Rattus norvegicus: one gene and its partners. The protein of the gene in region 1 purifies or fractionates together with the protein of each later gene. This does not show direct contact. Links are inferred from orthologs where the notes say so. Each region holds a gene or a part of one and is shown in the gene's direction. Other genes may lie near its edges. The genes, in order: Arrb2, Src, Igf1r, Tcof1, Nolc1 and Mapk1.

Region 1 (4,168 bases):
TGTCGTCTTCCGCCAAACCCAGTCAATGCTGCCCCAGCAATGAACCTCTAATATGGCCCCTCTGCTCCCCTCCACTCTCTGTTCATCATTTTCCCTCGGCTAGCTTATCTTCTAGCGAGCGGTCTCGCTATGCGACACGTTACCCAAAAAGAGAAGTCCTATCTCGACATTCCTCTGGTGAAAGCAAAACCCAATCAAATCAGCACTGGGCTGGAATTAGTGGTGAGCTAAGCATATGTGAGGCCCTAGCAGAAAATTAAATTAAATTAAATTAAATAAAGACTACAGTTCCTCGGGCTCTTTCTTTCACCTGCTATACACAGTCTTCCACCGTCTCTTCTATTCCTCCGCAGCTCTACCTCCTGCCATCTAACCCACAGACATTTTAGAACAGGGCGTGCTTTTCCTTACTCATCTTTAGGATGTCCTTTCCCCACTTCTGTCCATCCTTCAGAAGGGCTGTCCTCAAATTTCCTATGCTATGGAGTGACTGCACTCCCTCCTCCACGCTGGCCAAGCGCTTTTAGGCTTTTAGTTGCTTGATGGTCTGAGTCATATCTATTATAGCGTTCCTGGGAGCATAATACCTGTTTTATATGTCTCACGGATCCCAGGAAACTTAGGCCATGATGTTGTCCCGATGGCTCTGCACAGTGACTTACACAAAATAGGCAGGGAGGGAAGGATGAAGAATGGAAGAGATAAGTGGAGTAGGTGAATGATGGCTAGGATAGACGGTAAGGGAGATGACAAAGTCTGAATGTTTTAAAGTGACACTGCAAAAAAAAAAAAAAAAAATCAAAGACAATACACCAGGGGGAGCTGAAGACCACGAGAACGCGGGAAAGGTAGGCCAAACAAGGCTGCAAGCTCAGGGATGAGCAGCGCATACCAAAGCAAGCATCATCACGCAACAGATACGGCTCACCCACGTGGGCAGCCCCTTGGTGCTCAGACCCAGACAGTGTTTGAGCTCATTCCCACCGCCCCCTCGATCCCGTCCCTCCTCCGCTACAGTGAAAGCAAACAAAGGGGAGGGATCCCTGCAGGGCTATGGATACCAACGGCCAATCAGCTGCTTCTAAACTTCTCGAAGGCGGCCGCCTCCATTTTAAGGGGCCCAATCTAGTTCCAAAGGCTTGAGGAGGGGCGGGGAGATCGAGAGTAGGGACGGCGCGAGGAGGCTTCCCCGAGGGAGACTGAGGGCGGAGGCGTGGGGCGGAGCCAGCTCGAAGAGGGCGGGCTGCGCCGCGGCGCGCGGGCTCCGGCTGACGCAGCTGGCCCCAGCTCCCCTAGACCCAGACCGCGAGGGGAGGGGAAGGAGGAGAAAGAGTGAGGACGCGCGTGCGCAGTGACTCGGGGAGGAGTGGGGACCTGGCAGCGGGTGAGAAGGCTGCGAGCGAGCCGCGAACCCGGCGGGTGGAGGGCGGCGAGCGCGCGCGCACCATGGGTGAAAAACCCGGGACCAGGTAAGGGAGGTGGGGCCGTGCCGCGGGGCATGGGCGGCTGCTCGCGGAGTGTGCCAGGTTGATCCACAGACAAGGACACCGGGGAAGAAACCCCGGGGCCGGACGCCTGGGTCCCTAGAGGGTAGCTGTCCGGGGCCGCAAGCCTAGGTCCTTGAGGATATTGGAGTGGGGGTGCGTGCTGGGGCTCCTGCAAAAAGCAAGACTTGATAGAGATCGGGAAACCCACGCCTGGGTTCTCACAGAGATGTAGGAGTCGGACTACTGGGTTCTCTGCAGGCTGTGATGCAGGGGCGGAGGAAGGAGGAGCAGGTGGCCGGCCCCGAGGGGTTGTGTGCTGGGAGACTGGATGCTGGGAAGGGATTCCCCTAGACTCGTGCCCAACCAATGGAAAGCCTCCTGCCCAATACCCCACAGTCTGATTGCTCCCACCTGTCCCAAGGGTCGGATAGCTCTGCTACCAAACTTCTGCCTTCTCCTAGGTTGCTAGGAGCAACAGCTTCTTGAGAGAGTAGAGTGCATAGGGACCCTCGCTGAAATTGGGCTTTATTCCTGTCCTGGGGAGAGAGAGAGGTAGTATCTGCCCTGGACACACATCCTCTCCCCGGATGTTTTCTGTGCAATCGAGGCTCCTTCCTTCCACTGATACCAGAGTTCTCTTTTTTGGTCTATAGCAAAATCCACTTCCTGTTGTGACCCAACACCCCCAGGAGGACATGGGGTGAATACTTGAGTTCCAAAGGAGCAAGAACTAAATAATAGGTTGGGGCCATGTGCCTCAAGCCAGAGAGGACCAAGGATAAGGGCCTGATTATGAACAGTGACTTCTGCAAAACATGAGACCAACCCCACCACTCCCACTGCCCTTAAGTATTAAGAAGACCAATATCTGAGAGAGATGCTTACAGGGAAGATTGACCTCCTAGATTTGAGGTTAAACTAAACCCCAGAGAAAGGAGAAGTCACTTACTTGGGGGGGAGGCCCCCAAATTTCCGTTGAGTACTTCAGGGAGGGAATAGATGGACCAAAGAAAGACTGCTGACTTGGCATAATTCCCTACCATCTCATCAAATTCTGGGCCAGAGGAAATGGCGAGAATGGCAGGAAGTACAAAGAGGCATCTGCTTTAGCTGCACCCCTCCAAGCTGGGTACCTCCCTGGTAATTCCCTTGCTCTGCCTTCTTGGCCAAGCACACTGTGCACGCTGCGCCCTCCCTAACCATGGCTGGGTAAGAGCAGGGCAACTGACGGAGATACAATGATTGTGTGGTCGTCACAGGTTCTGCCAGGGCTCCCAGTGGGGGAAAATACAAGACAGGAGGAAACCAGAAGTAGGAGAAAGAGCCAACCTAGGTGATGTCCAAGCTGTCAGCCCTAATTGGGACAGAAATTAGAGTGATTATTCTAACCGCCACCATGTCCAAATGTGCCTTTATTACTTGGGGATACTTAGGGCAGCCTATGTATATGCCATGTGACCCTAAGTGTGTGTGGCCCAGTGATGTATGGGCAGCTTGGCTTTGGGGAAGGAGGAGACAAGTGGTTTTTCCAAGCAGAAACTCACATAGTGTGTTGAAGGGAGGATGGAACTCTGGGCAGTTTTCAGCCTGTTATCTGGGGGCCCTTTCAGGAATTGCTCCGGAGCCAAAAGGCCTTAGAAGGGGTAGAGTTGTTCTTGGAAGAACAAGCCAAGGAATGGCCAGAGCTCTGGGGTCACTAGACAGTTTCCTATCCTCCTAGCCGTGGGTGGAGTCTAGACTTAGGTTGTTCTAGTGTCTGTACAGAAAAATCCCCTTAGACTTGACAAACTGTGACAGGCGAGCTTCACGACTTAGTGGTTGAGAACAGGGTCTTGAAACCAGGGTGCCTTCCTCAGGTTTATATCCGAGTCCCACCCTGTACCTTCTCTGTGACCTTTGACAAAATTCTTGTTTGCCGTAAAGCCGGGGTCTTTTAGCCTCTGTCACTGGGCGATAAGAGCTGTAAACGCAGTTGGTACAGTGCTAGAACACAGCAGTCACCAGTCAATGTTAGCCAGAATCACCATGTTTGTCACAGGATGCTACTGTGTGGGGACCACAGTGGGTTTTTTTGTTTTTGTTTTTTTTTAAGCTGCTGAGGTCAGAAACGGGGCTGTTGGAGGTTCATGAAATAGTCAGACTTGGGGACAGAAACATCTGAGGGGCAAAGACTCTGCTCCAGGAGTCACTGTGTGAGTCCTTGAAGCTAGAGGTCAGTTAAAGAGTTCATCTGAGTGTGGTAGTTCGTGCCCCTTCATCCTAGCACCAAAGAGACAGAGGTAAATGGATCTGAGTTGGGGCCAGCCTGGTCTACAAGTCAAGTTCCAGGCTAGCCAGAGTTACATACTAAGGCCAAGGTCAAAAGGGAGGGAGGAGTGTTAGGTGTGACCCAGACATTGTGTAGCCATCAGTTGACTCTTGGTTTCGGAGAGGGTCCCTCAGGAGAGCCTGAATAGTTGGCTGGGGCAAACAGTGGCCATTTACTATAAGCGGAGGAGTGAGTTAGTAACATCAACAGCAAAGAGGAAAGGCCTGACAGTTGGCTTCAAGAGGCTTCAAATACCGGTGGGAAGCAGTAAAAAAAAGCAGTGGGAAGGGTCGAGCAGGGATCCAGGGTGAATTCCATTTCTCTGGGGGGAGGGATAAATCCCGGCGTGGTGGTCCCTGCCCAGCCTAAGGGA
Region 2 (3,500 bases), on another chromosome or scaffold:
CCAGGGATGTGACACAGTTGTAGATGTGTTCTCAGGATGGGAACAGAAGCAGTGTGCCCCTCTGTTTCCCTTTTCCTTTTCCCAGGGGCCTTTTCTGGCCTTGCCCTTCCCCCACAGACTGTCTCCGCTCTGATTCTGTCCTTTCTCCCAGCCCATCACCATGGCAACCAAGCCAGGCTGCTTCTTGTGGGCCTGGGGCTCAGCAGGAGATGGAAAAGTGCTCGTGCTGTGCCCCCTGTGTGCTGTGCACAGTACACGATGATGGGTGTGTGTGTGTGTGTGTTTGTGTGTGTGTGTGTGTGTGTGCGCGCGCGCGAGCATGCTCCTGCACTGCTGGGCTTGGAGGGTGCTGCTGGAGTGAAATGTGGTGTGGCCTGGCTCCTGGGGCTTGGGGATATGTGGCCACAGGGCATAGGTATGGCCACCAGCCTGTGCCTTCTGTGTGCACATGAAGTGGGCAGACTGTAGGAAACATGACTTCCCAGTATTGTTTGAGACAGGTTGAGTGTTACCAGAAGATCATCATATTTACCTGCAGAGGTTCACTGGGGCTCCAGGGACCTCCTCAGCGGGTGGTGGGCAGTCCTTCCGCTCAGCACTCCCTACTACCCAGCAGGTCGCTCGACCCTGTGCCCCACCTCTATCTGAGTCGATCCAAGCTTTATTTAACAAAGGTTTCTGTTCAGAACATTACCAGCTGCAGTTCTTCTAGGCTCCAGAGAGGCCAGGCAGGGGCACAGCCTGCAGGCCACACTCAGAATGTACCTCCTGCCCAGGGCTAATTACTCCCATGTCCACATAACCAACCCAGTGGCTACTCCTGTCTGCTCAGCTGGTGTTCAGTAAGCAGATGAGGACAGAGTGGGCATACAGAGAGCGCAGTAGCCAGCATTTATGGAGTGCTTGCGGAGTATCCTATGAATCTTCACAATAGTGTCATTGTGCAGGGGAGGAAACAGAGAGGACAAGCTACGGCTAGTTAGGGTCACACAGTTGTGAGCACATTTGGGACTCAGACGTCTTACCAGGGCTGCGAGTTTGGGGGAGGGGGTCTCTGCCATTGGGGGTTTTGTGATTTGCCTGGCTGTGCCCGGAGCCCGCTCCTCTAGGCACATTAGGGGCTGAAAGAGAGTGGAACCAACTCACTTCCTCAAGCAAGAAGCACACTAGCAGGGTGCCTCGGGGTCTCCTCCCTGTCTACCCACAGGTGCCTACTGCCTCTCTGTATCCGACTTTGACAATGCCAAGGGCCTAAATGTGAAACACTACAAGATCCGGAAACTGGACAGTGGCGGATTCTACATCACCTCCCGCACGCAATTCAACAGCCTGCAGCAGCTTGTGGCTTACTACTCCAGTGAGTGTTCCCGGCCGCGTGGGGACTCACCCAGGGGAGCAGGGTGCCACAGGGTGTGCCTCCTCACCCCTGGAATGCCTCTACCCTCCCTGCCTCTCCTCCATCTTCTCCTTTCTCCCCTCTCTCTCCGCCCAGCCTCTCCTTCCTCCGCAGCTGGCTGGTGAGGAGGGGGTCTGCCTTGAGCAAGCTAGAGGGGAGGGGCCAGAGGCTGGTGCTGATTGTTTCTGCAGCCCTAAGACTGGTCTGAACCGGTTCCTGGGAGAGAAGGAGGGGGAGGCTTCTTTGACAGAGAGCAGCAGAGCCGGCGTGCGGGTGCGGGCGCGGGCGCGGGCGCGGGCCGTGTGCAAAGATGGGCTTGGTGTGCACCCTTCTGTGCGGGGGCTGCCTCCTCGGTCTGGGCCTCCAGCCTCTCTAGGACTAGCTGCCCTCTGTCCGTCTGCTTCTACTCTGGGGACCATTTGATTCCCAGACCAAATCCTCCAGGAACCTTGTGATACAGTTCCAAGGCTCCAAGCCCCGGGGGCCTTTACCTGCCGGTTCCTCCAACGTCACCTGCTGCTTCCCACCTCCCGGCCTCTCTTCCAACCCCTCAGTTGATCTTGCCTTGTGCCCTGGCATAGGTGATGTGCTGTATGGGGTGCCACCTAGTTACCCCCCCAAATCAAGGCCAGGAACCTGCCTTCCAGGGCTCCCAAAGGATTACTAAAGCCTGCTTGACTCCCCACTCCCAAACTATCCTCCGTGGCATCTGTGTGCTGAGATCTTGCTAGGTGACTGGGGTGTGGGTGTGGCCTCCCTAGAGCAGGCTCTCACACCTGTTCCTCACTGGCTCTATACTCCCAAATATGGTGGGTAACTGAACGAATGAGAGATTTGAGCAGGTGACTTTTGTGCCACAGGCCCTTGGGGAATAGAGGTCTACAGGAGGGTGTCTGCCTGTCCCCAGAGCTAACGTGCACACGATGCCTAGGGCCATACACACAGGACAGGGAGGCCAGCTTGCTGTGGGATCCTGCCTGAGCCCCATTTCCTACTTCCGTCTCCAGAACATGCTGATGGCCTGTGTCACCGTCTCACTACCGTGTGTCCCACATCCAAGCCTCAGACCCAGGGCCTGGCCAAGGATGCGTGGGAGATCCCCCGGGAGTCCCTGCGGCTGGAGGTCAAGCTGGGCCAGGGTTGCTTCGGAGAGGTGTGGATGGGTAAGGAACACAGCCCTATCCTCATCCCAGCTAGACAGCTCAAAGACCTGAGTCCCTGCCTTTAATTGTCTCTGCTGAACAACTGGGCTCTGGTTTTGTTTTGTTTTATTGCCTTACATTAACTATGCAAATTATTACGTTTTCCCTGTGACATTTTCAAACTCACCTGTAATATACTTTGCTCCTCACCCTCACCCCCATACACACTATGACTCAACTAGGGTCAGCACTGAGGGTGGGCACCTGACTCCTTGTAGCCCATGCCGCTGGAGACTAGGGCATCTGGGTACCAAGAGCTGCTGGGGACTGGGCACCATGGTCCTCAAGGGCCTGAGTGAGTGTGGCCAGGTCTCACACCACGCCTCAGCCTCCTGATGTGAACACGGGGTTGATGTTAAGCTTCAGGAGGCATCTGCATGTTAGTTCAGCACAGAGAGAGACAGTGCTGTGCGGAGGGAGTAATGGGAAGTAGGTGTCCGGTCTCCCGTCTAATTGTGCAGCCGTTGGGAGGCCCTTGGGACAGTCACTGAGCTGTCCTAGCCAAACCCGGCTCCCCTGCTGTCAGCTGCTTTCTGCCCACCCAGGAGGAGTAAGGGGACTGTTGGGACTTAGTGGCCGTTTCCACTTCACTGTCTTCTTTTCAGAGGGCATTAGAGGGGTTGGGCCAGGTAGGCAAGGGACGTCCTGGGTTGTGAGGAGAAAGGGCAGATGGAGAGGCCAGCTTTAAAACAGACCAAAAGGAAGGTTTGTACAGAGCCTGGGTGAGCCACAGTCTTGGTCCTTCTCAACCTTAACTGTGATTCTTGGTATGTGGTGGGGATCTGAGGACTTGCCACTTTTTCCTGGAGTTCTGCACAGACCAGCAACCTCCAGGAATGCTGGCCCTACCCTCAGACCCCGCCCCTGTGGCAAGGAGGTCTCCCAGGCTGGCCTGTCTGTTC
Region 3 (4,094 bases), on another chromosome or scaffold:
CCGAGGATACTTGGGCTGGTGCTAGTTTCAAGTCACTTACGGATCAAATGAAGCTAGAGGGACGCGGAGGGGAGGGGGGATATTAGAGGCAGGTGCGGGTGGGTTTCTGCAGTGGCCACCGATCCTTGGTGACGGCTACACATTCTTAAGATTGGGACCTGAGCCAGACGACGTTGTCCGGGTTAGGGTCCCCGTCCGCAATCCCCATCCTGGGAACCCCCCGGACACGCCCCCCAGCTGCGGGTTCCCGCAGCCCGACACGCGCTGCGGTCCTTCTCCGCAGCTGCCCACGTGGTGGAGCACCGACCAGCACGATGCGGTGGAGCGCCCTCAGGGCGGGAGAGGAATGGGGCTGGGAGGCCCCGCCAGCACGACCCAGCCGAGTCGGTCCCCGACTCGGGGCCCCCACATTTCCTCCCCGGGAGGGAGGGAGGCGACATTCCCCGGGCCAGCCCTCCCGGGCTGCCGCCGCGCCCTCTGGCGGCCGCCGCGGAGACGCGTCTTGGGCACGAGGGGCCGCCTGTCTGGGTCCCCTTTCCAGGGCTCGGGACCCGCGGTGGAATCGCGGTGCTTCGAGAACAGAGGCATGCGGACCGCACCCTGTCCGCTCTCTGTCAGCGCGTAAGCACCGGAATACCCAAGGAGCACCGCCACGGGCGCCCAAGCTTGGGGTGGAAAGTGCCTTGCGTAGCAGCAGTCTCTTCAGGGGTCCCCTTTCCCCCAGGTGTGCCCCTCCCGCCGCGTCCGGGCTTTCCACCACGCTGCGAAAAAATGCCGCATGCATGCACTTATTTATTTATTTTGCAACAGCTGCAAGAAACAATGAAGCTTTTTCACAGAGCGGGCCAGCGCGCTCACCAGCCGCGCTGTTGTTGTTTTCAATGAAGCTCCGGGGCCGCACTCCCCGCCCACCGCGCCCGCAGCCCGCCCGCCCTGCCGCCGCCCCCTTGGCCACCGAGTCCCGCCGGCGCCCGGGGCATTGTTTTTTAGAGTCCTGCGGGTGGGGAGGGTGCGGACAGGGCCGGCCGGCGCAGTGCGGGTGGGGGCGGAAGCGTGGGCGCGCGCGTGGCTCAGTGTGCGCGCGGGGGCCGGCGCGGGTGGAGGCGCGGGGGGCGGTGCCTCCTGGGCCCGGCTCCCCACGCCCGCGCTCCGCTCCACACGTCCCTGCGATCCCGAACTCCGGCTCTTGGCGACTGCCGAATCGGGGCCCGGCCCTCGGCGCGCCGGGACTGCGGCTGTAGCCGCTTGGAGTGTGCGCGCGGGCACGTGTGCGCGGCCCCGAGAGCGCGCGCGTAGAGCCCCCAGTGTGTGGCGGCGGCGGCGCGGTGAGGCTGAGGTTCTTGTTTACCAGCATTAACTCCGCTGAGCGGAAAAAAAGGAGGAGGGGGAACCGAGGAGGAGCGAGCGCACCGGGCGAACTCGAGAGAGGCGAGCGACAGGGAAGCCGCCAGCGAGCCTATCCCGGCGCGCCCGGCGCTCGCAGACCCTCGGCCCCGCTCCTTGGACCCTCCACGCCTCTCCCGTGCCTGCAAGAGCTCCACGGCACGCGGCGTGCTCGGCTTTGACCTTCAGCGAGCCGGAGCCCCCGCGCACGGAGTCGGCGGCGGGCGGGGGCCGACGCGGGGCGGCGGGAGCGCTGAGCGCTGCGCGGCCGCCGCTTTGTGTGTCCTGGATTTGGATTTGGGAAGGAGCTCGCGGCGGCGGCGCTGAGGGAGGAGGCGGCGGCGAGCGGAGCCCAGAGGAGGAGGAGGAGCCGGAGGAGGGGGAACCGCTCATTCATTTCCACTCAGCATTTCTGCCCCTCGCCGGCCTCGCCCGCGCCCGGGACTTCGGACCAGTCTCGCCAACTGCGTCGGGCTCTCCCGCCGCGTAGGCTCGGGTGGTCGTTCCCTCCGGGAATCGGGGGCGTTTGTCCCCGCCTGCGGCGATTTGGGCTTTGCTCCTCTTTCTGTACAGTTTTCCTCCCTCTTCTGCATCTCTGGGTTTGCAAATGGAGGCCGACGACACCGACAGCCCGCCCCGGCGCGCCCCGGCTTCCCTACTCCGCCGCCCCGTGGGCCGCTGCTGCCGGCGCTGAGGGGCCGCCCCGCGCCACCCTCCCTGTCCACGCCGCTTTCCGAGGATCTTCGCTCTTGTTTTTGGACGAGAGTGAGGACTGAGTTGAAGACTTTTTTCTTTTTTTTTTCTTTTCTTTTCTTTTCTTTTCTTTTTTTTTTTGAGAAAAGGGAATTTTGTCCCAAATAAAAGGAATGAAGTCTGGCTCCGGAGGAGGGTCCCCGACCTCGCTGTGGGGGCTCGTGTTTCTCTCCGCCGCGCTCTCGCTCTGGCCGACGAGTGGAGAAAGTGAGTATTTGCCCGCCGCCCGCGGCCACTGCGGGAACTTTTCCTCCGAGGGGCTGCGCCCTGTTTGGGAAAACCCAGTTGCCACGGGCGCAGCTGTCGGACTCCGGGGCTCGGGAGCGGAGGGTGGGGCTCTCCCGGAAGGCCAGAGCGGATCGGGGCCCGAGTTCACGGTTCAGGAGCTCCAAGAGCCTGAGTTCAGCGCATCTGCGCGCGGGAAGGGCCTCGGGGCTTTCTCTTTCGCTGTCCCAGGAGCGCTGTCCCGCACGCGGCCTGGTGGGTGGGCAGTGCCTCCTCCCTAGCGGGTCAGGGGCAGCCTACTCCTGGGCACTTGGTGGGGAAGTTGGCATCTGGGTGTCTCCGGGAGCCCCGCTGCCCTCGTCTCCCCCCTCCGGGGCGCGCCACTTGGCACCCCAGCGCCCATCCAGCGCTGCGCACCATGACAGCACCCTTGGAGGCTCCACGGGTGTGTCCTAGGGTAGACCGACCTAGTACTTCGTGTTGGCCAGCCAGAGCCTTCTGCCCCGCGGGGTGCAAGTTGTCCTTGAGGGGGAGGTACGGGATGGGGAAGCCTCGCGGCCCCAGGACACGTTTCCAAACATCACGGCGCGGCCTTATATCACCCAACTTGTTGGGCCCATCGGGCCCCTCTGGTTCTTGGCCTTTCGCATCTCTGGAACCTGTAGGTGTCTAGTCCCCACCTCTCCCAAGACTTGGTAACTTGGGCTTCCCGGTGTGGCCTTGGGGTGCGGGGTGTGCTCCCCAGCTTCCCCTAAGGAAGTGTGAGCTTAAAACTTTCATCAGACGCCTGTGTGTGTGTGTTGGGGGGGGGGGGGCTTGGATGATACCCAGCTTAGAGGTTCCTTGGGCTCTCAGTTTCTACCTCGCTCTGGACACTTTTCCCCAGAAGTGTCTTAGTAAGAGGAGTTAGAGACATCCACCCATGTGCAGAGTCGACGTGCATTTCCACACACACGTGCTCTCCGCGCGGATTTAGGTGCATCCACAGCCATACGACCACGAGGTGACAACTGGACTGGCAAGAGATGTGCGGTGGCTTGAGCTGCGACAGGATCTGTAGTATGGTAGTGGACGGGTGGTTGTTTTGTTTTGTGAACGCGGAGCCCTGGCCTTGGTTTTGTTGTGCCCAAAGTTGTGTTGCATTGCCAACCCCCCCCCCCCCCCCCCCCCCCCCCGCCCCGCACTTCCTTTGTACATACTTAATAAGCAGTATCGCTCCATGCTCGCTATCGCTTGCAATCTGATAGCTTTTGTTTTGGTGGTGTCGGGTAGGAGTAGGTGGTGGTGGTGGGGTGTCTCTGGGAATGAGAACTCTCCACAGTGTATGGGGGCAGCAGGAGGAGGAGGGGGTTTTGTTCTCGAGAAAAACAGTGGCATACTGGTACTTCAGAGATGGTAGAGTAATTTGAACGCGATTAAAACTTTAAATGCAGTCTCTTGAGTTGGGGCTGGGGAAGTGAGGGCGTGCGGATGAGTAATGTTTGCAGAATGTATGCAGGTGGTGCCTATTAACTTCGAAAAAATCACGACCTAGCCTTGAGGAGTTAGCAAGGGGGAAACGATGGAGGCTGCGCGGGCCGTGCGGCCCCACCACTGCCGTAGTTCACAAAGGCTGTTTCTATAAACAAACCCTGAGCCTCTTTTAAGAAATATCTACGATGGAGTCCGAGCAGGTCTTTAAAGAACTGTAGCTGTAGTAAGCCTAGTGTAAGGCGCAGACTAGGGCCGACCCC
Region 4 (4,070 bases), on another chromosome or scaffold:
GCGTACAGACCGTGTGGTCTCCAGTAGTAGGCATTCAATACAAATCTGCCTGATGTCTGAATGTAGATTAGTCTCCCGTGTCCTCACACAGCACATGCCACCTGCTCCTGTCACCTGGTCCTGTGTGCTTCTCCCTAGAATGTGAATGTCACTTTTCTTGTCCCTGTGGCCAGATATCACAAGAAGCAACTTACATTAGAAAGATTAACTATGGCTCACAGTTCACAGGCCATGACAGAAGGAAAGATAGGATGGCAGGAATATTGGTTACGCATCAGCAGGCCAGGAAACAGTGAAAGAAGAATGCAGGCACTCCCTACTCAGACACACCCACAGGAGTAGCTCTTAGGTAATTCTAAAGTCCAGTCACCACTAAGGATTTAATTATCATATGTGCTTATGTGGGTCCTAAACTTCAGTGGACATGTGTGTTGACCCAAATTCGTAGTGAAAGCTGTCAGCATATTCCCAACCAGTCCTTGAGGAACAGGTGCCTCAAATAGTCCCAGGCCACTCCCATTCTCTCCTGGTCACTGTACCCCTCAATAAACACAGTAGCCTACATCGGGATTTTTTTTTCTATATTTTGGACTTTCATCTTTCCAACTGTACAGCCTAGCAGTACAGGGTTGTTTGGGGTTCCCTTACCAAATACCAAAGTAATTTTCACATTCTGACTCATAGAGCACCTCCAGCCTGGCCTCTCCACAGTGCTTAAACGTCTCTGCTGTCTTTGAGGCTAATTTTAAATGTCTCTTGGGGGATAGGTGCCCTTCCTCCATGCTTCCCTGAGCTCTGTCTTCTCTCAACAAAGTGCACCAGACATCTGAACTGTAACTGCTAGGTTGTCTGCTGTGTCTCCCACCTGGGTGATTTTTGAGTCAACTGCTTGCTTTGTTTCTCTTTATATGCCCCAAGCCTAGCTAGGTGCTGTCCTAGCTCAGGTAAGGGTTTGTTTAGAGATTCAATACACCAGTGACAACTCAAGCCTTATTCGTGGGACCTAAACACTGTGAAATAAGTAATCGGAAGCAGGGGCCAGTAATCAGGAAGTTCAAAAATGAATAAAGGCGCCACAGGCATCAAATCTTTTCAAAGTGTAAATCAGAATTTAGATGCAGGAGACCTTTTTTTCTTTTTTTAAAATCATGGCCGCCCAGAGGGCGGATCCAGATCAGGACACGCCTTCGAGCCAATGGCAGAGCTGGTTAACCTCCATGGCTCAGCCCTCTTGGACCGGATAGCCCATTCCAGCGGCAAGACTACATTTCCCAGCGCGCCGCGCGGCCCGGTGACGCGAGGCCGGAAGTGAGGGACATGAGGTTCTAGGGCGCGAGGGAAGCGGCTAGCGGGGGCGAGGGGGCGTGCACGTGAATAGCCTGGCCGGATCTCTGGCATGGCCGAGGCCAGGAAGCGGCGGGAGCTGCTTCCCCTTATTTACCATCATCTGTTGCAAGCAGGCTACGTCCGCGCGGCGCGGGAAGTTAAGGAGCAGAGCGGCCAGGTAAGCGTCAGACGGCCCAGTGCAAGATCAAGGGAGCCAGTAGCCCGCGCCCCTCCCGGGAAACCCAACCAGCGCGAGTCAGAGATGTCGGCCAGGGAGCAGGAGGAACATTAAACTCTGCTCTACTCCGTGCGACTTACAGCCACCTCCCAGGCTCAGTTTCCCCATGGGTGCAGTGGGCGGGCCGGAAACTGATCCGACTAGCGCAGCTTTGTAATTCCCGCCCGGGTTCCCGGTAGCGGCAGGTTTACGTTTCCCTAGGATCTTGCCACGTGGCTCTATGTAGTTTCCCTGGGACATCACCTGGAAGTCCAGCTGGAGCAGATTGTCACCACTGTTGTTGGGAACACCGAGACGAAGGTCCCCTTAGTTGATGATCTAGCATGCAGGGCGTGCAGGCCCTTGGCTGTCTTCGGTTATGACAAGACTCGAACCCGTGGTGCACTAACTTCAAAGTTCATTCATTTGGCAACTTTTATTTGGCACTGAGGTGCAGATGATGAAATGGGGCCCCTCTGCCCGCCTCACAGCCTAGTAGATAGTACAAAAGAAACACAAAAGTGACTGTATAGTTAACTTTGTATTAAGCTGTAGAGCAAGAGATTCGAGGTGCGGAAACGTGGGTGGAAGAACCTGGGCGGGGAATATCCAGGACTGCTTCCCTGAGGATGTAGTAGTTGATCTGAGATCTAGAGGGAGATGGGTATTTAGATGCCAGGTTGGAGTGGGACTTCCAAGTGTCCTAGCCTCCAGAAAGTTTGCTGAGCCTGAAGTTTGAAATGCTTGACTATGGAGTCTCCCAAAAAGATAGAGGCAAAGCCGATAGGCAGGAATGGCCTATGGGTTGTCTTCCCAGAAGAACTGTGGTAACTGGTGAACTGGATATTGACCTGGAGGACCCCAGGTGTGGTGGCATCTGCCTTTAAAATCCCATCACTCCAGAGATTGAGGCAGGCGGATCTCTTGAATTCAGAGATAGCCTGGTCTACAAAGTGAGTTTAAGACCAGCCAAGGGCTGCATGGTGAGATCCTGTCTCAGAGAGAGACAGAGAGACAAAGAGAGCTTAAGCTGGAGTGGGGTGGGAGGGGTGGGGCACCCTGGTTTGACCTGTGCCTTTAATCCCAACACTCTGGAGGCCAAGGAGGGTTGGTTTCTGTGAGTTCAAGGCCAGCCTATTAAGTTCCAGGACAGCCCAGGCTACACAGAGAACCTCTGTTTTGAAAAACAAGTGAGTTCAAGGCCAGCCTAATAAGTTCCAGGACTGCCCAGGCTACACAGAGAACCTCTGTTTTGAAAAACAAAACAAAACAAACAAACAAACAAACAAACAAAAAAACGAACTTAAAGCCCAAAGGTTGCTGGGCCCTTAAGATGCTACCTATTGCTTTCTTAACCTTCCTGGAACTCCATGTCCATCCCTACTCAAACTATATAACTGGAAGCAGGGTATAGAGCCTATCACGTGGTTTGTGTGCCCAAGCAAGAGTGCCCTGCTCTCACAGAGAAGACACAAATACACACACACACACACACACACACACAGAGTTTGTGGCTAGCATGTTGTGGCAGGTGCTGACCATTATGAGGCTAACAAGTGGGATTCAGAGTATCAGCCTCCAGTTATAGCTAAGATGGTCAGAGAAGCTTTAATGGGGACCATGACCTTGGAGTAGAGACTAGAAGGAAATGAGAATAGGCTGTGTGGTTGGCAAGAGAGAGAAAGTTTCAGGGGCAAGAATGGCAAAGCCCTATTGGGAGCCAGTGGCCCGACTTACTTTGTTATGACACTAGGGTAGGGGCAGAATGAAGCTGACTGACTGGACTGTGCCCTTCAGACATGACAAGTTTTCTCTGTGTAGCCTTGGCTGTCCTGGAACTCTCTATAGACTAGGCTGGCCTTGAACTCAGAGATCTGCCTGCCTCCATCTCCTGGAGCAAAGGAGATACTCTGCATTTCCCTCTCACATTTATTGTTCTGTGAAGAAGGATCCTGAAGTTTGCAGAGAGAGAAGATGAACTGAGTCATGGAATAGGTGCTCTCCCTGACTCATGTTTAGGGGCTAGTACGTTCTTCCTTTGCACATAGCTCTTTGGAGTCCATTGGAGCTGTTCGGTCTTATGCACATAGAGTGCGTCCTCAGCTTAGGCCTGGATTCTACCTGTTTCCCTCTGTTTTAACTGCAACCCTAGCACCCTTTAGGCTCAGTCTCTTTCCAGACGTCCAGTGGATTCCACTGTGTCATGTGGAAGTTTTCAGGGTTTGGGCTATCTTATGTTTTGGAGTAGATTGACTAGCCAGGCCTTGGAAAACCATCCAGGGAGGTTAGGAAAGGAAAGCTCTGTCGTATGGCTTCCATCCCTGGACTGAGGTAGGGATGCTGGGTAATGCTAGTTCAATGCCTACCCCTCCCTCTCTCTCTCTCTCTCTCTCTCTCTCTCTCTCTCTCTCTTTTTTTAAGCTGGGGACCGAACCCAGGGCCTTGCACTTGCTAGGCAAGTGCTCTACCACTGAGCTAAATCCCCAACCCCAGTGCCTACTTCTCAAAGGTGCTTCTTACTGATATA
Region 5 (4,205 bases), on another chromosome or scaffold:
AGCCACTGCACCCTGCTTGTACAGCCTTGTCATGTATCTGAACACTCAGGTATTTATGGGTTAACATTTACACCAATCCCTTTCTGGGTTCTGTAGAGTTGTTCAGACTGGACTGAAACCCCAGTTCTCCTGCCTACTCTCTTACAGTGACAGCCTGTGCATGGAGATATTTTAGAATACAGACACTTGTGGGATGGAGAAGATACAGTTTTGGGGTTGGTTTTTTTTTTTTTTTTTTTTTTGTTGTTGTTGTTGTTTGTCTTCTGAAGCCAGGGTTTTTCTGTATAAACCTGACTATCCTGGATCTCACTCAAGGGATAACTGCTTCTGCCTTCAAAGTGTTGGGATTATAGTATTTCAAACTCAAAAGAACTCCTCTTCCTCCTCCTTTGCCCCACCCTCCTCTCCCTCTCTCCTCAGATCTACCTACTTTTGTCTCTCAACCCTGGGTTTCAAGGCATTTGCCACCAAGCCTATGAGAATAAAAGTTTTCTCAACTGGGGTTTGTGTCTATTAAGTGTTTCAGGTAAGCTCACCAATTTAATTTGATCACCGTCCTGGCGCGTGGATTTTTTTAAAAAAATTAATATGGATGGATGGATAGAAGCACCTCCTCTGGGAAATAGGATAACATTTCTTTTTAGAAGGAGCGACTGTTTTGAGGAAAGTAAAAGGTGTTCACAGGAAGTGCATCTTTATTGTTTCGTGAGGGATAACTAATGTGACCTGGAAAATAGCTGATAGTGGAGTTTTCAGAATTCAGTGTGACTTCTGACTTAAGGAAGAAAGGGTTATTGAGTCCCTTGATCTTTTCTCTGGAATGAACCCGTGCTCTCCTCCCCCTTTTCGAGTTGTGTATGGTTGGGATAACAGTCTTTAAACCTAGCTGTGACTGACAGTCAATGTGGGATACTAACACCTTTGTCACCACAACTTTTAGGATTGCCTTATGATTTGAGTCTCACTGGGTGTGAAGGATGTGAAGAAGTCATTGTTGGTGGGAGCTTGAGCAGTAGACGACACCTCTAGAAAGGTGAAAGAGACTCGAGTTCTCCATTCCTTTGATTATCGTGGGGTCTGAATAGCAGCCGGGGCTTGGAAACTACGTTTCTATAGATAGAAGTCCATTCAGCAGAGATAATGCGCGGGAAGTTGCAAGTTTTCCCGCCTCGGACGGGAGCGTGACCTCTGACGTAAAGCTCCGCCTCCTTGGGGGGGAAGGCTAGTGGGCTCCGCCCTTTACAGGATGACGACGCGTGTGAGACCGGAAGGAACTTATAGATTTCGCATGCGTCCTGCCTCCGGGGCGGAGGGAGCCCTGCCTCGTGGGGGCCATTCTTCCGCTGCGCGCCGCGCGACGTGATGACGACACTGGGCCCGCCCTCTACCCTGGCTGTGCTCTGGAGTTCTTCAGTCGTACCGCGTGCGCAACGGTAGTGACGCGTTTAACCCGGAGTATGGCGGATACCGGCTTGCGCCGCGTGGTTCCCAGCGACCTTTATCCCCTTGTGCTCGGCTTTCTGCGAGATAACCAGCTCTCAGAGGTGGCCAGTAAATTTGCAAAAGCGACAGGCGCTGTGAGTCCTTGGTTTGGTTTGCGGGCCGGGGTGGGACGACTCTCCAAGGTAGTCTAGGCCTTGTCAGGTTTAGAAGTCAAGAAATCGAGGTCTGGGGTCTGTCAGTCTAATGTCTGTGAAGCCTCTCTGCCGACCTTTCTGAGGCTTAAGGTCTCGGCATCTCTTTCCATCACGTCTGACTAGCTCCGAATCTTACGGCTTTTGGTGAGTTTTGCAGTGGTGGCAGGCATGGGTCCCTCGTGACCTAGGACATGTGGCGATAGATCCCTCCCGGAGCATTGGTTTGGCGGTGCCTGCTTCTGCTGTACTTTTTGTTGGACTTACACTTGGTTGCAGTTTTACCTGAGACTCAAAGATAAATTGTTACTAGTGAAGGCTAGGATCCTATTTATTTATACACTTTAAAAAATGAGTGAGTGCAGGGATAAACTGCGTAGCAATGAAAACTAGGATATCATTATTTATTTAGTTACTTAATGAATGAGTGCAGGGATAGGCTGCTTTCAGTATACCATAGAAAGCGTGAGCATCTTTCCCTGTCAAGTTGGCACTGGGCTTGGAGCTTCAGGTAGTGATATAAAGCAAATGGAGGCTTAGGCCAGATCCACCACTTTCTACATTGATGATCCTGGGCATCCTTTTATTTAAAACAAAGTTCAACCCTTTATATTGTGTATAAAAGTCCTTGTAGAGTGGAAGATGGATGTAAACTTCTGTCCCTCTTGCCTCAGCCTCCTCATCCTAAGCATGCCTGAACATAGCAGGATGCCATTTTGGTTTTTGTTGTCAAGACAAGAGTTTCTCTTTGTGTAGCCTTGGCTGTCTTGCAACTCACTTTGTAGACCAGATTGTCCTTGAACTCAGCTCTCACTCTGCCTACCAAAAGCAGGGATAAAAAGGTGTGCTCAGCCCTATTTACAGCTTTTGAGTGAATGAGATTCACCAAGCGAAAAATACACAAGCCAGTAATCTCATTGTAGACACACAGGGACCATGGGATGAGTGACAGCTATTGTGTCACTTCAAATCCATGTAAGAGCAAAATTAAGTGAAGGAATGTGAAATGTCTCGTCTGCATCTTAAGAAAAGCTGTAGTGTTCATGGAAACACCTTGAAAGACTGTGTAGACTTACGGTCTTTTTTTTTTCAGGGTGATAGCATAACTGACAATTTAGGTTTCTTCTGCTTTATTTCTATTTCTATTTTCTATGTCTCATCGTGTAACCCTGGCTAGCCTGGAACTCATATGCAGAGTAGACTGGCCTCCCAGAGATGCCCCTGCCTCTGATTCCTCAGCGTTGGAATTAAAGGCTGCACCATCATAACTGCCTGGTCCCCTCCTGTTTCTGTGGCCATTTTTGACCTGGCCTTGGCCTTATGATCTTCCTGCCTTAGATCCTGGGAATCTTGGGTTACAGGCCACCAGACCACATAAGAGAGTTCTTTGAGCCAGGGCAGCCTGGCATGTGATCTGATGATACATGCCCACCTGTTCCTGAATGGTCTTAGCCGATGGACCTTCTTCCAGTGCCCCTTACTCCTCCCCGCCCTTCCTTCTTTTTTTCCTTTTTTTCGGAGCTGGGGACCGAACCCAGGCTAGGCAAGTGGTCTACCACTGAGCTAAATCCCCAACCCCCCCACCCTTCCTTCTTAAGACATGGGGTCTCAATATATAGTTATGGCTGTCCTGGGGCTCACTGTGTAGACTTAAACTCATCTCTACTTGTCTCTCCTTCCCACATGCTAGAATTTAAGGCATATGCCACCACACCTGGAACCTTTGTTTGCTTATGTATTCTCTCATGCACGTTGGTGGTTTGCCTGCATGTAAATGTGTGTGATGTGTTAGATTCTGGAGTTCAGACAGTAGAGAGCTACCATGTGGGTGCTGGGAATTGAGCCAATTCTCCAGCCCCGCCTTTCTGACTTTTTTTTTTTTCCTTTCTGACTTTTAAAAGTCAATTGTTTAGGAAAAAAGTTAATAGTTAGAAAATATGAAGCCACAGGTGTCAGGATTGCGTGGATCTGGAGTTAACAGATGTGGGCGCTGGTAAAAGTGTGGATGGAAAGGCATAGGAATAGCTATGCTATAAAGTTTTCATGTTCAGTGTTAGGTGATATGTAAGTGGAATATTTTTCTCCTAATTTATACAAGTAGGAAAAGTCTTAAGATGTAACATCCATTTCAAATTGAGTAGGTAGTTAAAATAACTTTTTTTTTTTTTTTTGGTTCTTTTTTTCGGAGCTGGGGACCGAACCCAGGGCCTTGCGCTTCCTAGGTAAGCGCTCTACCACTGAGCTAAATCCCCAGCCCCTTAAAATAACTTTTTAAAAAAGATTTATTATATATAAATACACTGTAGCTGTCTTCAGACACACCAGAACAGAGCATGAGATCTTATTACACATGGTTGTGAGCCACCATGTGGTTGCTGGGATTTGAACTCAGGACCTCTTAACCACTGAGCCATCTCTCCAGCCAGTAAAACAACTTTTGAGACAAGGTCTCTTTACATAACCCTGGTGTCCTGGAACTCTGTATATAGTCCTCTTGGGCCTTGGCCTCACAGATCTGCCAGTCTGTCTTCCAAGTGCTGGGACCATGCCAGGCTGACAAATTACATTGAT
Region 6 (3,500 bases), on another chromosome or scaffold:
TTTGGCCTTGCCCGTGTTGCAGATCCAGACCATGATCATACAGGGTTCTTGACAGAGTATGTAGCCACGCGTTGGTACAGAGCTCCAGAAATTATGTTGAATTCCAAGGTAAGAAAAAGAAACAATGGCTATAACCTTCCTCTCCAGCCCTCAGCCTGTATATCTGGACAGAGCCAGAGACTGTATGTCTGGACCGAGCTGTTTGAGAACTGGACTTTTTGGGTTAGGGTTCACCATCTTCAGTCACAATAACTGTAGACACCTATGTCCCTTCCCCATACATACTACTAAAATACCCCCCATGGCAACGTCCATACCTGTTCTTTATGTTATTGGGGTTTCTAGTAAGGTGTGTTTCTGTGCAAATGTTCCAGAGCTGTTCTACAAAGGTCAGGTTGTCTGATAACGAAGACTATCTCTCCAGCAAAATTACTGGGTGCAGAGAGAACAGAGCCACTATGGACCATTGAAATTATAGGGTAGTTATGTTTCAAACTGAAACCCTTGCTCCTCCTCTCCGAGTTGTTGTGAAGGGTATATCAGGCCATCCAGACTCTGCTAATAAGGCCTGAGTTGTGCTAATAGGTGGTGGTGCATGTCCTTAATCCTCGCATGCAGGCAGGAGCAGACAGAAGTCTGTGATTCTACTTAGCAAGTTCTAGGACGGCCCAGACTACATAAAGAGGCCTTCTCTCCACAAAAAAAAAAAAAGAAAGAAAAGAAAAGAAACAAAAAGGGGGACAAGCAAGCATAATGTCAGTACTCAGGAAGCAAAGGTAGAATTACCACAAGCCTGAGACCAGCCCAGGCTATTAATACTTTGTCACAAAAAGCAATTGAAGATGATTGAATAGATTTACAACTGCCAGGGGGGAAAATGAAGTATGCATTCTTCGTTAGAATTGTAAGATGGTAGGCAAAATTGAGCACTGTTTACAACATTGAGGTTCAGTTTGGATATGCGTTTGCTTTTTCCTGGTAGTTTTTTTGTTTTTGTTCTTTGTTTTGTTTGTTTTGTTGTAACTGTGTGTCTATATGGGTTTGTGCACATGTTTGGTGCCTAAAGGTACCAGTAGTGTTGGATGCCCTGGAATTGCAGGCATTGTTGTGTGCTGCTCAGTATGGCTGGGAAATAAACTCCTGGGCCCTCTGCAGGAGTCCTCTGCCAAACTGCATAGTCAGTGTCTCAGCACACAGCATGTGACCCGCTCTATCTAATTCATGCTGTTTGTGAGGAATGCAGCACTGGCTCAGGGTTTCACTTTTGTGTGTGCCTTTAATGTTGATAACAAGAAATGAGGTTAAGAGACTGGAGAGATGGCTCAGTGGTTAAGAGCACTGACTGCTCTTCCAGAGGTCCTGAGTTCAAATCCCAGCAACCACATGGTAGCTCACAACCATCTGTAATGAGATCCGATGCCCCCTTCTGGTGTGTCTGAATAGGAACCCAGTGTGCTCATATATAATAAATAAATCTTTAAAAAAATAAAGAAAGAGAAAGAAAGAAACGAGGTTAAGTTCATTATATCCAAAGGCAGAAACTGTATGTGCTATGATGAGTGCAGTTTCTGGATCATTTCCAGAACACTGCAGCTTAGTCCCTAGTTTGAGAGGAACTAGTTTGACTATGAAATTTTGTTTTTCATCAAACTCTTTTAAAGATAGTGGAAAGATAACTATTACTACCTTTTGTCGTTTAGTTTCCCCTATTATTTATTCTCTTGAGTTACAATCCACTCACTCTCCAGGATTTGGACCACTCCCCAGCAAGCAGCCTTGGACAGTTCCCTGCTATTCCTTGGCATCAGCTGCTGCGGACTGCTGTGTACACTCCTGTCCCAGCCCTAGAACAGGCTCTTCTCCCTCTCGAGGCCTCATTCCCTATCTGTTTATTCGCATATGTTATTTTTGCGGTTTTCATTGATCCATTTATTTACCTTTGGTAGATTACAAGAGATTTAGAAACAATTACTTAAAATCCTGTCTTATCATTACTGTAGTCACTGGTTCTTTGGTTTTCCAAAATCAACTCACTCTAAATTTACTGGTTGGCTTTTTTCTCTTGTTGCTTACATTTCCCTTTTCACTTATTACTATACCTAACATTTTCCACAAAATTTAGCTCGTGTTCCCTGTGAAAGCATCTTGAACTATTGTTACATTGAAATAAACTATGTGACTTTGAACAGACTTCCTTTAAAAAGAAAGAACCTAAGGAGTAAATAGAAAAGATGAATGTTGAAACCATCACCTAGGGTGGGGAGAGAAGGGCGTCCAGCCTGGATTTTTTTTTTTTTTTTTTTTTTTTTATTTACAAAATGGATAAAGTTGTTCCAGGAATATAGTGTTATTCATGTAAGTTGATTTCCAACTTTATAAAAATTAGCTGAATGATATATAAATAATGAGCATTAGTACTTTTTCTAGTTCTAGTTTGTAATAATTCTAAATCTCTAACTTTTAAAAATGGACTGAGGTATATTTCAGAAGTTCTAATGTAATAATTTCAAGAGATAAACATAATGTATTTATAATGATTCAGCATCTGTCTTTTTTGGATTTCTGTTGCTATGATAAAATGTCATGACCTAGAGCAAATTGGGGAGAAAAAGTTTATTTCTGCCTACAGTTCCACAATGCAATTCATCATCAGAGCAGAACGGCTTCTCCTGCCTCTGCCTCTGCCTCTGCCTCCTGAGTGCTGGGATTAAAGGTGTACATCACCACCCCCTGATGGCACCTCTGTAGAAAGCCAATCTGTTGTTTTTCATTCTGTGTGTCCCTGTGTTTCCCAATGATTGTCTCGAAGAAGATGCTCAACTCTCATCTGCCTCAAGGCTGTTACATAGAGAGATCTCCTCATGTTGTTGTGGACACTACACTCTGTTACTCTGTCTTTTCTCCCTTTGTGTTGCAGGGTTATACCAAGTCCATTGATATTTGGTCTGTGGGCTGCATCCTGGCAGAGATGCTATCCAACAGGCCTATCTTCCCAGGAAAGCATTACCTTGACCAGCTGAATCACATCCTGGGTAAGCTTGAGCACGGTTTCCATTTACGTTAGTCACACCAGACTCACTATTGGCATGGTTGGTTTGTTCTGTTTACATCTTCTCTACTTTAAAAATATTAAACATCCTTTTGTAGAAACTTGAAGTGCATTAAGTACATTCAGTACATTAAGTACAGAATCTCTTTTGTCCCATAGGTGATGTGTGTAGTAATTTGTCCTTAATCTTGACAATTAACAGCTAATGTTTTGTCTGATAGGTATTCTTGGATCTCCATCACAGGAAGATCTGAATTGTATAATAAATTTAAAAGCTAGAAACTATTTGCTTTCTCTCCCGCACAAAAATAAGGTGCCGTGGAACAGGTTGTTCCCAAACGCTGACTCCAAAGGTAAGACTTGCTTCACGACAGCTTTTCTTAAGCTTAGCTTTAGGTTTGCTTACTGTGTTGGCTAAGTTATTAGGCTCCAGCCCGAAAACTGCGCAAGT

The links.
Region 2: the proteins of Arrb2 (region 1) and Src purify together in Homo sapiens (affinity purification with western blotting; 4 studies listed by BioGRID and IntAct, with this or other methods). This does not show direct contact. The link is inferred for Rattus norvegicus from reciprocal best matches to the Homo sapiens genes ARRB2 and SRC.
Region 3: the proteins of Arrb2 (region 1) and Igf1r purify together in Homo sapiens (affinity purification with western blotting; 4 studies listed by BioGRID). This does not show direct contact. The link is inferred for Rattus norvegicus from reciprocal best matches to the Homo sapiens genes ARRB2 and IGF1R.
Region 4: the proteins of Arrb2 (region 1) and Tcof1 purify together in Homo sapiens (affinity purification with western blotting; 4 studies listed by BioGRID and IntAct, with this or other methods). This does not show direct contact. The link is inferred for Rattus norvegicus from reciprocal best matches to the Homo sapiens genes ARRB2 and TCOF1.
Region 5: the proteins of Arrb2 (region 1) and Nolc1 purify together in Homo sapiens (affinity purification with mass spectrometry; 5 studies listed by BioGRID and IntAct, counting the BioPlex papers as one, with this or other methods). This does not show direct contact. The link is inferred for Rattus norvegicus from reciprocal best matches to the Homo sapiens genes ARRB2 and NOLC1.
Region 6: the proteins of Arrb2 (region 1) and Mapk1 purify together in Homo sapiens (affinity purification with western blotting; 3 studies listed by BioGRID and IntAct, with this or other methods). This does not show direct contact. The link is inferred for Rattus norvegicus from reciprocal best matches to the Homo sapiens genes ARRB2 and MAPK1.

What each region holds. Positions count from the first base shown.
Region 1 is NC_086028.1:55,644,234-55,648,401, forward strand, and holds the start of Arrb2 (beta-arrestin-2), read left to right. Parts: upstream 1-1,368; 5' UTR 1,369-1,446; coding exon 1,447-1,469; intron 1,470-4,168. UniProt on the Homo sapiens protein: Functions in regulating agonist-mediated G-protein coupled receptor (GPCR) signaling by mediating both receptor desensitization and resensitization processes.
Region 2 is NC_086021.1:166,551,188-166,554,687, forward strand, and holds part of Src (proto-oncogene tyrosine-protein kinase Src), read left to right. Parts: intron 1-1,207; coding exon 1,208-1,357; intron 1,358-2,403; coding exon 2,404-2,559; intron 2,560-3,500. UniProt on the Homo sapiens protein: Non-receptor protein tyrosine kinase which is activated following engagement of many different classes of cellular receptors including immune response receptors, integrins and other adhesion receptors, receptor protein tyrosine kinases, G protein-coupled receptors as well as cytokine receptors.
Region 3 is NC_086019.1:130,958,703-130,962,796, forward strand, and holds the start of Igf1r (insulin-like growth factor 1 receptor isoform 1 precursor), read left to right. Parts: upstream 1-1,294; 5' UTR 1,295-2,249; coding exon 2,250-2,343; intron 2,344-4,094. UniProt on the Homo sapiens protein: Receptor tyrosine kinase which mediates actions of insulin-like growth factor 1 (IGF1). Binds IGF1 with high affinity and IGF2 and insulin (INS) with a lower affinity. The activated IGF1R is involved in cell growth and survival control.
Region 4 is NC_086036.1:56,567,928-56,571,997, reverse strand, and holds the start of Tcof1 (treacle protein), read left to right. Parts: upstream 1-1,270; 5' UTR 1,271-1,396; coding exon 1,397-1,504; intron 1,505-4,070.
Region 5 is NC_086019.1:254,868,954-254,873,158, forward strand, and holds the start of Nolc1 (nucleolar and coiled-body phosphoprotein 1), read left to right. Parts: upstream 1-1,405; 5' UTR 1,406-1,457; coding exon 1,458-1,577; intron 1,578-4,205. UniProt on the Homo sapiens protein: Nucleolar protein that acts as a regulator of RNA polymerase I by connecting RNA polymerase I with enzymes responsible for ribosomal processing and modification.
Region 6 is NC_086029.1:97,482,826-97,486,325, reverse strand, and holds part of Mapk1 (mitogen-activated protein kinase 1), read left to right. Parts: coding exon 1-108; intron 109-2,917; coding exon 2,918-3,032; intron 3,033-3,270; coding exon 3,271-3,402; intron 3,403-3,500. UniProt on the Homo sapiens protein: Serine/threonine kinase which acts as an essential component of the MAP kinase signal transduction pathway. MAPK1/ERK2 and MAPK3/ERK1 are the 2 MAPKs which play an important role in the MAPK/ERK cascade.